Linked DNA regions of Callithrix jacchus. The protein of the gene in region 1 interacts with the protein of each later gene in a biochemical or structural test. Links are inferred from orthologs where the notes say so. Each region holds a gene or a part of one and is shown on either strand. Other genes may lie near its edges.

Region 1 (4,209 bases):
GACAGAAAGTGAGAAAGGAGAGCCCAGGGGTAACCCTCCAGGGATGAGGCAGGAAGACTGAAAGAAATGTACCTGGATGTAAGAATCTGCTGCACTTGCTGGGGTGTGAGGGCAAAGGTAAAGTGTGCTTCCTCAAACCGCTGGCTGGAAGTGGATGCTGAGGACACAAAATGGCAGTTATTCCAAGCCCATGCACAGGCAGCCACAGAAATCACCCCCATCCATGCCGCCAATCCCACAGTACTAAAGCCTCTGAAATGTTTGGGGAACAGCCATGGAGTCCAGAAGACTAAGGGACCACAAAGAGCCATACCAAGGGTGGTGGGCCGGATGAGCTCCCCGTAGACCTCATAGAAGGGCAATGGTTTCATGGTGACATCAGGGTGCACAGGCTGGGGCAGAGGGGGGTGCATGTCCACCTCACGCTTGGGGCCCAGCAGGGTGCCAGGGGCCAACAGGGTTGGGGGAATGGGAGCTAGAGGGCCAGGGGAGCCTACAGGAGAGGTGCCAGGGGGCAAAGAGAGCAGGGAGAGATCAGAGGGCCCCAGGGCCTTCCGGGGAAAGCGACGTCGGTAAAGCTCTTTGATCTTCATCTGGACACTAGGGGCACAGCTGGACTTCAGGAGGTGCAGGGCCTTGGCCAGGAGCTCGTGCTTCCGTCCACTCTTGTTCCGGCCAGCAAAGCCAAGAAGCACCTGGAGCTCAGACACCCGGAAACTCATCACCATGTGCTGTGGAGAAGAACACAGGAGCCTGAGAATCCTACCTCGCACAGGCCTGTCCTGCCAAGACATGGGCTGAGCTACCAGTTGGGCAGTGCCTTTTTCCCTCCACCTTCCCTGATGGGGAAGATGATGCTTTAAGCTAGTGGATTACTGCCAGGTGGTCGACCTATCCAAAGGGACATCTCAGCCCCACTTTAGCAACCCAAAGGTCAGCAGATCACCACCCGCCAGAGCTTGAACAACACTATCTTCCCAGGCCTGCAAGCAGCCAGAGTGGGGCAGGGAATGCAGACAAGAAGCCATCCTCAGGCACACCTCCGAGTCCACTGCAGCATCCCACCACCATCCCTGCCTCTAGTCTGGACTGTCCTTTAAGCTGCTTATCTTCTCTCTTGCCCTTTCTCAGACTCTCAAACCCATCCCAGCCTCCTGGGAAGAGGACAGGAGACAGGGAGAACCAGGGAGAGGAGACAATTCACGCCAGACTCACCCATGGGGAAGAAAGGGGCCAGGTGGCTGGAGGATTGTGCCCTTCAGCCCACCCCCCAATCACCTTAATTTGCCTAGGCTATTTCCCCCAAGCCTCTGAAGCTTTTGTGGCCAGGATTTTCAGGTCAGGGTTCAATGCTCATAACTCCCCCAGATCCTTTCTTGGAATCATTTATATAACCGCCCCTTCTGTGAGACTTAGTCCTATTTTTCTGGAAGGGAAACAGGACCAAAACTTGGGTCTGGGGGTGGGGGGCTGTTAACAGTAAACCGCTGAGTCCAGGTATCCTGCCTGATAACTCTCTGTCTGTCAGGAACCATTATCCCGCTTCTCTCCTACATAGAGAAAGTAACACCCCGCTACAACCTACAGCCCCCCTGTAGGAGTGGAAGAGGAGAGGGCAGAGCTCTAAACAGAGGCCCTGGCTGGCTGAAGAAAAAGCCTCTGAGTCAGGGCACAGAATCGCAAATTCTCTGAAGGTAACTGGGCCCAGTGGCTAGACCTCCAGCCTGCCCAGGACCATAGCTTCATTGCAAAGGGCAGAAGAAGCAAGCCAGGAGGCAGGGGGATGAAGCCAGTGGTTTAAGGTTTTATCAGATGTCCTCACACGTGGTCATCCTCAAAACTCTGTGAGGCAGAAGGGGAGCGCTCTCCTTAGGGGACTCCCTTCTGTGAATCTCCAGGAGGTCATGTCGTGGGCAGGGCATGCTGGTCCTACACAATTCTTCTCATAGGAGGCTTTGTCTTGGGCCCCTTTTGTGGAACGTGATGAGAAACTTGCTCCTCTTTCTCCCCATCCTTATCTCCTCGGTCCTGTCTTTTTTTCCCCATTAGCTTTCCCTGTAACTTCCCTCCTTTCTATCCCACAGTTTCACGTGCCTCTGCCGCCGCCCAAACACCGCGATTCACTAAGGCAGCACCTTCCTCCGCGCCTCCAGGATGCTTCTGCCCCACCCCTCGGTGTCGGCCCGCACAGCCCCGCCCCCTACATCTCAGCCGCCTACTGGTATTTCCCAAAGCTCGGATCCCGAGAGCACCCCCAAAGCCCCTATCCTCTCGGCTGCCTTTCCCTCGGAGCCCCCCCCACATCTGCCCCACGGTCCCATCCTTGCATCTGCCCCCTGCTGTCGCATCTCTCGGCCTCGATGGACTCGCCCGGATGCCTCTACAGCAGCTTTTCCCCCTGGCCCTACCCCAACAACTGCCCCTGCTACTAAATCCGCCTGCTGCCCCTCGTCCCCGCCCCCTGCGCCTCAGCCCCCAGCAGCTGCAATTCCCCTCGGCCCCACCCCTACATCTGCCCCGCAGCCCCGCCCCCGGAGCCCGCCGCAGCCCCTTCCTCGCTCGCAGCCACTTCTCTCCCATCCTCAGCCGCCCGCCCCTGCCACGTCGCCGGCGCCCACCCGAGCCCCGGCACCCAGTCCCGGTCGCTTCCCGGACACGGCGCACCGCCGGGCTCAGGCCAGATGGGGGTGGGGGAGGGGGCCGGTACCTTTAATTCGCCCAGCTCCGCCATCTTGAGACATCGCAGGCGCCCCAGCCGGAGCCGGAGCTCAGGCCCAGGGACCGGCGCACAACTCTCCACCCCGGCGCCGGCCGCAAATGCCGCCTGCTCCGCCCCGTCCGGCCCCCTACACCTCCCCTTCCCGGCCCCGCCCGCCGGGCTTCGGACTAGCCCCAGCCTGAGCCCCTCCCTCCACAGCGGACCCAGCGGCTACACGTCTGCGGCGGGTTGGCAGGACGGGTGGCCTCCGAGGCAGCGTAAGGCCCCGAAGATCGCGGGGTCCCCGAAGGCAACGGAGAAGGAGGCGGGCCCGAAGTGCCCGGTGGAGGGTGGCTTTGCCACAGCAGAGTTGGGAGGGGACGAGCTTTTAGGGAGCCAAAGATCCTTGAAAGATGGAGGGAAAGTATCCGGAACTGCTAGACCTGAGAGAAATGGGGGAGGGGGCAGCGAAGTTGGAGCGCAAACCCTCGTCTCCAGCTCTACGTAAAGTTTAAGCAACTACGATCCAGAGTTCTTCCAGCCCGGGAAGTCAGCGAGCGCCGATCCGTCGTGGGGAAGCCGTGGAGTCGGCATTCGGTTCAAGACGGCCACGCTCAGTTGTTCCCACTCCTCCTCCCCCACACACCAACCACAATGCAGCTCGCGGTCCCATCGCAGGACCTCAGCTCCGCAGCGGAAAAGTTTGGTGCGGGGAGCGGGACTTACCAGCACAGCTGGGGGGAATGGAGAGAGGGCTCGGGAGGCTCAGAGGGCGGGCTGGAGAGGTGGGGGCAAGGGGCTCCGCGCCGCTGCTGCTGTCCGCTCGGCAGAAGTTCGGTCCGGAGCCGGACGCAGCGGCCGCGGCTCCGCCCGGGCCGGAGCTCCGCCCGGCCTAGCACTCGGGCTGGGGCCGCCCCCTCCAAGGGAAGCCCGCCAGGACCGCGGAGAGGGGAGCGGGGCGGAGCTCGGGTGAGAGAGGGAGGGACTCAGAGCCTGGCTCTGGAGCGATTAACTCCTGGTGTGAGTGGATCTGGAGAAAAGAGATTCTTGGATCCCATCATTCTCACTCCCTCTGTGACCCCTCACGCTAATGTATGGGATTGGGGTGGTGGGATGCTGCTGTTACGGCGGTGTGATCCAGGTGTCTGACCGTATAAAGCAGTCTTCCTTCAAAAGACAACTGTCCCTTCCTAGGGCAAAGCCTGGGCCGGTGAATCCAAAGCGTATCTAGCAGTAAGTACTGCAGATACACATGCACAATACCTCCACCAGAGTCCCCATACCCTTGGTGTAGCTGAAGGTGAATACTTACCCACGAAAGGGATCTTTCTGACCCTCTCTGAACTACCTACCCACTCTCCTTCCTCCAAAGCCTTGGACCCTCCAGAGGCCCCAAACCAACCAAGCTGATCACTCATATGCAGGCCCCAGATTAAATGTGTTTCTGGGCCAGGCGCGGTGGCTCACGCCTGTAATCCCAGCACTTTGGGAGGCTGAGACGGGTGGATCAC
Region 2 (3,525 bases), on another chromosome or scaffold:
ACGGATGCCAGGTCTGTGAACACAGCTGGATCTGTGCTGTTGCCAAGCAAGGCCCCCAGGTCTTCATCATCAAACTGCAGCTGCAGCAGGGCCTCTGATAGTGTTCCTTCCCCAGCCTGCGTGGGCTTGGGGGCAGGTGGGGCCATAGCATGAGGAGGGCCTGGGGCTAGGACTGGGCCAGGGGCTGGGGCCTGGGCCAGAGCTGGTACCATGGGTGGGGCAGGGGCAGGGGCAGGGGCAGGGGCTGGGGCTGGAGCTTGCGGCAGGACTTGGGGAGGGGCTAGGGCCAAGGCTGAGGCCTGGCTTATCTGCTCAGAAGGAAACACCATGGTGGGAAACTCATCATAGTTGATGGTGCTCAGGGATGGCGAAAAGGGATAGGGCTGAGGGGCTGGAGGAGAGACAGAGAGGCAAGGGTCAGAGAACGCCCCAGAGATCCAACCCATCCTCTATACTCCAGCCCCTCTTGATGATGCTTAGGCTCAATCTTTCTAGGGAGTCACTGCCAATACCCTACCTCCTTCCTCTTACCCAATCTGACCCCGCCTGTAGGGTCCAGTTCTAGCCACATCTCCATCCTGGAGTCCTCCCTGACTATTCAAGCCCATGAAGCTCTCCCAGCCTTTTAGAGGAAGGGACACTTTGAGGGATAAGCTAGTCTCCTCAGTTTACAGCTGAAAAACCAAGTCCCAAGAGGCAACAAGCCCATGGAGCACCAAGTGAGTAGTGGCTTTAAGTGGACAGTTCATCAGTCTTTTTTGAGCCCCACACCAGCATATACATCTTGCTAATTTAGAGGTGATTTTTCCCACTAATTCAACTGAGAGGTGAGAGCAGAGATTCTGTATTTTTAACTTCTGAATCCCAAGATGTCCAATATAGGATGTAAGTGGCACTGTGGTTCCCAGGCTTCGGTGTGCATTAGCATCCCGGGAAGCCGCTGATTCCTGCACCATCCTCCCAAAGCCTCCGATTCAGTAGGTCTGTATAGGGCCCAGGAATCTGCATCTCCACTGCTTCTCAGGTGACTCTGACGGAGGTCACCAGACCCCACCCCCTGAGAAACATAGGCCCAAAGGAGAGCTGGCTTCAGACATCTGTTGCTCAGGTCAGTTCCTCTGCTCATCTCCCTTCCAGAAGGCATTTCAGCCATGGGCTGAATAGAGCTGAACCTGTCGCTCCAGTGGGACAAAAGGAAATCCTTACCTGGCTTGGGGATGGAAGCTGAACTGCGCGAAGGCACAGCAATGCGCCGGGGTGGAGGCCGGGGGTCAGTGGGTCCTGTAGGGCAAGGGCTGGGTCAGTTCTCAGCCCTGGGGTGTCCCCTCCCTGCCCCCCCCCCGCCTTCCTCTCTGGCCTTCCCGGTCTCCTCTCACCATTGAAAGGACTCTTCTTCATGATACTCTTGAAGGTCTCATATGTCCTTTTGCGTTTCTCCTCAATCCGGTGGCGATCATCTGGGAAAGTAAGGGGGAGAAGGGGGCGCACTCACTTCAGGTGGGCCCCCAGTGCTCTCAAAGGCCCCCGAGAAAAACAAGGAGCAGGGCTTTCCCAAAACCTGTCTTTGACAATGAGAAGGGATGTGTGACACTCAGCTGTTCTGAGAATCCCACGGCTTTTGGAAAAGGCCTCTGTTGGCTGAATCTGCCCCTCTAAGGCCACATGGTGAGGCCAAGTACAGGGGCCATGCTCTGGGGAAAGAGGAGCCCTGGGGGGTACCAGCTTCCAGCTCATGCCTTCCTGCATTGCTCATGTCATGGCTTACTGCAAGCCTCCAGCCAGGCCTGGTGACAATTTCTTGGCATTCTGAGGCAGCTGAGGCACAACTTAGGATTTATGACTTCAGCAGAGACTTTTTTTTTAAAAGAAAGAAAGATAAAGAGAAAGGGGGAGAGAGAACAGGAGTCTTGCTCTATTGCCCAGGCTGGAATGCAATCTAAAAGTAGGTATTAAAAACCTCTTTCATGCCGATAATGGTGCTTAACAGTGCAGAATTTCAGGAAGGAATTTCCCATCATTGTAAATTTATCCACCTGTCGTCTTTGTAATAACCGACTTTCAAATTAGGTCTCTGAGTGGACATCCAACTTGTTGATTCCCAGCGCCGGAATCTGAGCAACCCACTGCGCTGGCTAAGGTGTTAAGATTTGTGGTGCTTTTCTGCCCGGGAATCTCCGGTCTGGCTTCCTTCTTGAGTCCCTTTTTCAATCAGCTGAATAGGCGACTCTGCCTTCCCGGAGCTCCAAACGTCGACCAAAAGGGGACCCAGTCCTGTTTACTCTGCACCAAGAACCACTGTGCCGGGGCGCCGGCAAAACCACCGCGCCAGCCACAAGAGTCGTGCTGGTGACTTGTGGGGCTCCTCCGCTGGGAATCTCCTGGTCCGTGAGCAACAAAAATTCGTCTGAAAGTGTGGTGTCCTCTCGTTCTCTGCACTTTCACTGGGAGCTACATGCCTGAGCTGCTAGTAATCAGCCATCTTGGATCTCTCTCCAAGACTCTTATTCTTACCTCTAATGGTTTGATAATTTAGTTGGAGCTTTCTGAACTGTTTTTCTTCTCTTTTTTTTTTTGAAACCGAGTCTCGCTCCGTCGCCCAGGCTGGACTGCAGTGGCACAATCTTGGCCCACTGCAATCTACTCCTCCCAGGTTTAAGCAGTTCTCTGGCTCAGCCTCCTGGGTAGCTGGGATTACAGGTGTGTGCTACCATGCCCAGCTAATTTTTGTATTATTTATTTATTTTTAGTAATTTTTGTATTTTTAGTAGAGATGGGGTTTCACCATCTTGGCCAGGCTGTTCTTGAACTCCTGACCTCATGATTCATCCTTCTCGGCCTCCCAAAGTGCTGGCCACCATGCCCAGCCTCAGAACTGTTTTCCTAAGTACCATGGTACTTCAGTAGCACCAAAGCACCTCAATTCCATTAATTCAAAGACAATTTCATCATCCCTCAAAAACTGGGTTCTTTCTCCTATATTCCCTGACCATCTATCTGCCCTGTCACCAAAGCTAGAAACCTTGGAATGACTATCTTTTTTTCTCACTCCCCACCACTAACTTGACACATATTTATCAAGCACCTACTATGTGCCAGCCTCCCTTCTAGACACTGGGGATGTGGCCATGAGTAAGCACACAAGGTGTCTGCTCCCAAAAAGTTGGCATCCTAGTGAAAGAGTGATAGGGACACAACCATGTATACAAACCAGAAAATCTCTCTCTCTTTTTTTTTTTTTTTGAGACAGAGTTTCACTCTTGTTACCCAGGCTGGAGTGCAATGGCGCGATCTCGGCTCACTGCAACCTCCGCCTCCTGGGTTCAGGCAATTCTCCTGCCTCAGCCTCCTGAGTAGCTGGGATTACAGGCACGCACCACCGTGCCCAGCTAATTTTTTGTATTTTTAGTAGAGACGGCGTTTCACCATGTTGACCAGGATAGTCTCGATCTCTCAACCTTGTGATCCACCTGCCTCGGCCTCCCAAAGTGCTGGGATTACAGGCTTGAGCCACCACACCCGGCCTAC
Region 3 (4,107 bases), on another chromosome or scaffold:
GCCTCTTTAGAGTTTTCTCCTTGGATAGTCATTTAGTTTATTAAATCTAAAAGGCCAAACACCAAGATGAGATGCTAATCTGAAAGGAATAACTTCAAGACCTAATAAAGAACGAAGACTGAACAGGGTTTTATAGATTGCAAATGACTTTCTCTTACATTTGCCCTTGCAACATCTTCTAAAACTGGTTTGCCAATCTCTTCTTTTATGGATGAAGAAATGGAGGCTTCTAGGAACCAAGTGACATGCTAAGGATTGCACAGCTCTTCTTAGAAGCACCAGCAATTTGAACTCTGAGTCTTATACCTTTAAATGCCACCGTAACTCTATACTGCCTTCCTGATGCCTCAAAACACTTTTAAAAAGAAGAAACACAATCTATTTACTGGAACTAATCAGAGGGAAGGACTAGAAGTACAAATGAGCCACAAAGGAGAGTTTATAAAATTCTCTTCCCTAAGTGAGTGCCAGGAAGCTCGATAAGGGGTTGACACTTTTACAGTTCACTTGCACATCTTCACTCCTGAAATATTAGGACAATCTCATTTGAACTCCTAGTCAACTGGGAAATTAAAAGCAGAGAGCGACAACACTGTTCTGTAAGTTTGTGCCTTTTAAAATTAACCGATCTTTCAATTGCTGCTTTAGATTAGAAGTGGCTACTTGGATAAAGGGGAGGAAAGGGTCATTTAACTGATGAACCGTATTGTAGAAGTCCAGACTTAGTTCTAGAAAAGGAACGCACAAGAACAATTTCTCCAATAACGTTTTCATTACAAAGCGAAGGAAAGTTCTTCCTCGTTGTTCCAATCCGAGGACAAGTTGATACGTCGCAGCAGCCCAGGGAAGCATGCGGGCTGATAGGAAGTCTTTTTATTTTAAGACAGGCTCGAATACTAAAACTTTCTAGTGCCAAAACCCTTCACTATCTTATTTTTTAAATAAGCATACGGCGTGCCCTCGCAGATGTCTGAGCTGAGAGGTGGGGGTGACGGTAGGAGAGCAGGCTGTGTCCGTTCTTATTCATATTAAATAGCCAAGTCTGTACCCTTGAAGCAAGTGGGGAGAGAGGAGGGAGAGGAGCTGCTGACATTGAAAATGAATCCAAACAGGAGTTGCTCTAGCGGTGTCCACCACGTTGCTTCTCCCCCGTCTGGCCTTCTGGGAGTTGTAGTTTTTGTGGGAGTGACTCCCCAGGCCAGCCGGGAATACCCCGCCCGGATCGAACTACAGATCCCAGGCGGCGCTCGGCCGTCGGCCCCTCCCTCCCGGGTGCCAGTGTAAACTCCCCGCTCGTTGGCGGGCGGCCGCGAGCCGGCGAGCGGGCAGAGCTCTGCACTGCGCGGGGGCGCACGACTCGGGGGACCCAGGCCCAGCTACCTTGCCTCCGCCCCCGGGCTCTGTTCTCACTTTTGAGCTGTGGAAGGACGGGAAGCGGGAGCCATGCAGTCGGAATCGGGGATAGTGCCGGATTTCGAAGTAGGAGAGGAGTTTCATGAAGAGCCCAAAACCTATTACGAACTCAAAAGTCAACCTCTGAAGAGCAGGTGAGTGGTGACAGCTGGGCAGAGGCGCGACGGGCGGCTGGGGGGCGCTGCGTCTGCCACTCCGGGGCGAGGAGAGCGGATCGTGGGAGCTCTGGGACAAGGACCCAGTGCCCTTGCCCCGGGGCGGAGGGCGAACTGCCCCTCGCAGTTGGGGGCCGCGCTCGCCCGGCCCAAGTGCGCTTCTAGGAGGCTCGGTTGGAGCGCACTTCGGGGGGCGCTGCGGTAGCCGGGGGCGGAGCGTCCCGGCTCGGGGACCCTCGGCAGGGGATGCCAGCTGCTGAGACTGAGTGGGGGCTGGGGAGCGACCTGGCGCGCTGTGGGGGAGGAGGAGCGCCTGGCCGGGACGCTGCTGTCCCGACGAGACGGGAGAGAAAGAGTTCTAGTGAACCCCCTTTGTGAAGATCCCAGCGGGTTGAGGGCGTGGACAGGGAGAGCTTTGGATGGATTGAGATGCAATATTGGAGGGAAGCAGTTAGTTTGATTGTAGTCACCTCTTGGGAGTCCAGTCCCTGTGGGGAAATCGGCCCTTGGCCGCTTGCAGGTGAGGGTTCTCTGGGCTCCGCCTCTCACCTCCAGACCGCTCCACGCGGGCGCGGGAGGGGCGAGTGCAGCGGTGGGTGTGTCCCCTAGTCCAGGTTAAACTCCCTGTAAATAGAGTCGCATTCAAAACCAGGCCTTCCCTGAAGAGGGGAAATGAGCCTTGGTCTTGGGGGATACTGGGACTGTACCTTGCTTGACAGAGACACGTGTTTAATTCGCTGGGGTCTTCAAAAACTTTTTAGGAGAGGAGTAAAGACATCCACTGCTCCGACGCCCCATCTCTTCTACTGCCCACTTCCTTTGCGCCAGCTTTTTTGCTGCCTCCATTGTCACTTGTCTGTCAAAATGTATTGGGTATCTTCCGTTCTCTCTGTCCGGCGGCCACTCTGGACTCGTCGCACTTCTCATTTACAGTGTTTACTAAAAGGGACATGGTCAGTGGAGGTTGGAATAGCAGAGAAGGGTTTATTTCCATCCTGCTAAGCTGTGAGCTAGGATAAGGCTATCATTGGAAGCATCCAGCAGGACTTCTGCACCCGGCTGTACCTTCCTGCCCTGCCCTTCGCTGTGGGTGGGGCCTGGGTGAATGGGCCTGGCTGGCAGAGTGGGAGAAGGTCCTGAAATGAGGGTGAGTGAAGAAGGGCAACCGAATGAAGAGCCAGGTGGTGTAATCTTGGCCTCTGGTGAGCACTGGGCTGGTTCCTTTTCTAGCGGAAAGTGCAACCAGGTTTATTTCCTTCAGGGCTGTGGCAGGACTCTTCATCCCACTTGGGAAAGAAAATCTGGGAACAGCGGACCCACTGACTGCCACTGCTGAAGAAGCCTCTTTGTAGATGCTTCACGGCAGATTGGAAGGAGACCGCCTAAGCAGTTTGACCTATAAAACCAGCCTTTAGTTGGTGGTTTTTCCTCATAATGGCCGTTTTGTGTGTGAGCATAGATTGTGTGTGTTGGGGGCTGGGGGTTTTGGGTAATATTGTGTGAAGGGTATTGTTGGTTATGCTCATCAGGGCTTTATCTGCATTCGGCTGAAGGGACCAGTGTTTTACTGGGCAGTCTCTGCTTCTGCTTCTATAAGCAAATGCTTACATGGCCAGAATGAGGGAATGAGTGTGTGTGTGTGGAATCCTGAAAGAAATGAATTAACTGGACTGTTTGGAACATTTCTGATGGTGGCTGATACATAACATTAAATCAGTTTGAGAGAGCGAGGAAAATACCATCTGGAAAAACCCAAATGAGTGCCGTGAAACTCATGTTGAACGATTTGGGCCTGTTCTTTTTCAGAGTCAGCAAAAAATGACTTGCAAGGGTGAACATCCTCAGTAGTTGGCTAGCAGGCACGTGTCAGGAAAATTGTGGGTATGTGGGAAGAAATGGCTTCACACGTTAATGCTAGAAACAGGTGTAGGCCTGAACCAGCAGGGAAAGGAAGGCTAAATTAAAAAAAGTTGTTGTAAAACTTGTATATGGAGCACACACATGCTCTTTGAAATAAACCAGTTAAATAAACTCTGTGAATAAATATATGGAGTTGGCGACATTTCTCTGTACTGTTTCCCACAGTTGTCTAAGGTATTGTCCTCGACATCTGTTGTGTGACTTAAAAGGGCTACACATTGTTCTGGGCCTCTCTCATTGCTTTTTGTCTTATGTCTTTGCTGGGGCACCTCATTTCTTATAAGTCTTTATTGGAAAAAGTTGAAATTGATATGTTAAGACTGCTGTAGCCATTCTGCCTATCAACTGTCTTCTCTGGATTGTCCCTTAGAGTTGAAAATATGTCCAGAATCTGCCTGCTTCTTACCAACTCCTCTGCTACCACTTTGGTCCAAGCCACCATCAGCTCTTGCCTGGATTATTGCAGTAGTCTTTTAAACTGCAATAACCACATTTAGTGAATTTTCAGTATAGTAGCTACAATGTTCCTGTTAAAACTGATTTTCAATAGGAGGTGATTTTGCCCCTGAGGTCATTTGACAGTGTCTGGAGACATTTGTGATTGTTACAATGGAAGGGA

What was found.
Region 2: the proteins of PIAS3 (region 1) and RELA form a complex in vitro, tested with the Homo sapiens proteins (2 studies listed by BioGRID, with this or other methods). The link is inferred for Callithrix jacchus from reciprocal best matches to the Homo sapiens genes PIAS3 and RELA.
Region 3: the proteins of PIAS3 (region 1) and MITF form a complex in vitro, tested with the Homo sapiens proteins (2 studies listed by BioGRID). The link is inferred for Callithrix jacchus from reciprocal best matches to the Homo sapiens genes PIAS3 and MITF.

The regions. Positions count from the first base shown.
Region 1 is NC_133519.1:8,291,582-8,295,790, forward strand, and holds the start of PIAS3 (E3 SUMO-protein ligase PIAS3), read right to left. Parts: upstream 2,823-4,209; 5' UTR 2,732-2,822; coding exon 2,708-2,731; intron 732-2,707; coding exon 314-731; intron 158-313; coding exon 73-157; intron 1-72. UniProt on the Homo sapiens protein: Functions as an E3-type small ubiquitin-like modifier (SUMO) ligase, stabilizing the interaction between UBE2I and the substrate, and as a SUMO-tethering factor.
Region 2 is NC_133511.1:122,744,925-122,748,449, forward strand, and holds part of RELA (transcription factor p65), read right to left. Parts: intron 1,458-3,525; coding exon 1,377-1,457; intron 1,282-1,376; coding exon 1,207-1,281; intron 1,058-1,206; coding exon of another isoform or gene 1,041-1,057; exon of another isoform or gene 829-1,040; intron 392-828; coding exon 1-391. UniProt on the Homo sapiens protein: NF-kappa-B is a pleiotropic transcription factor present in almost all cell types and is the endpoint of a series of signal transduction events that are initiated by a vast array of stimuli related to many biological processes such as inflammation, immunity, differentiation, cell growth, tumorigenesis and apoptosis.
Region 3 is NC_133516.1:51,562,018-51,566,124, forward strand, and holds the start of MITF (microphthalmia-associated transcription factor), read left to right. Parts: upstream 1-1,305; 5' UTR 1,306-1,443; coding exon 1,444-1,547; intron 1,548-2,671; exon of another isoform or gene 2,672-2,770; intron 2,771-4,107. UniProt on the Homo sapiens protein: Transcription factor that acts as a master regulator of melanocyte survival and differentiation as well as melanosome biogenesis.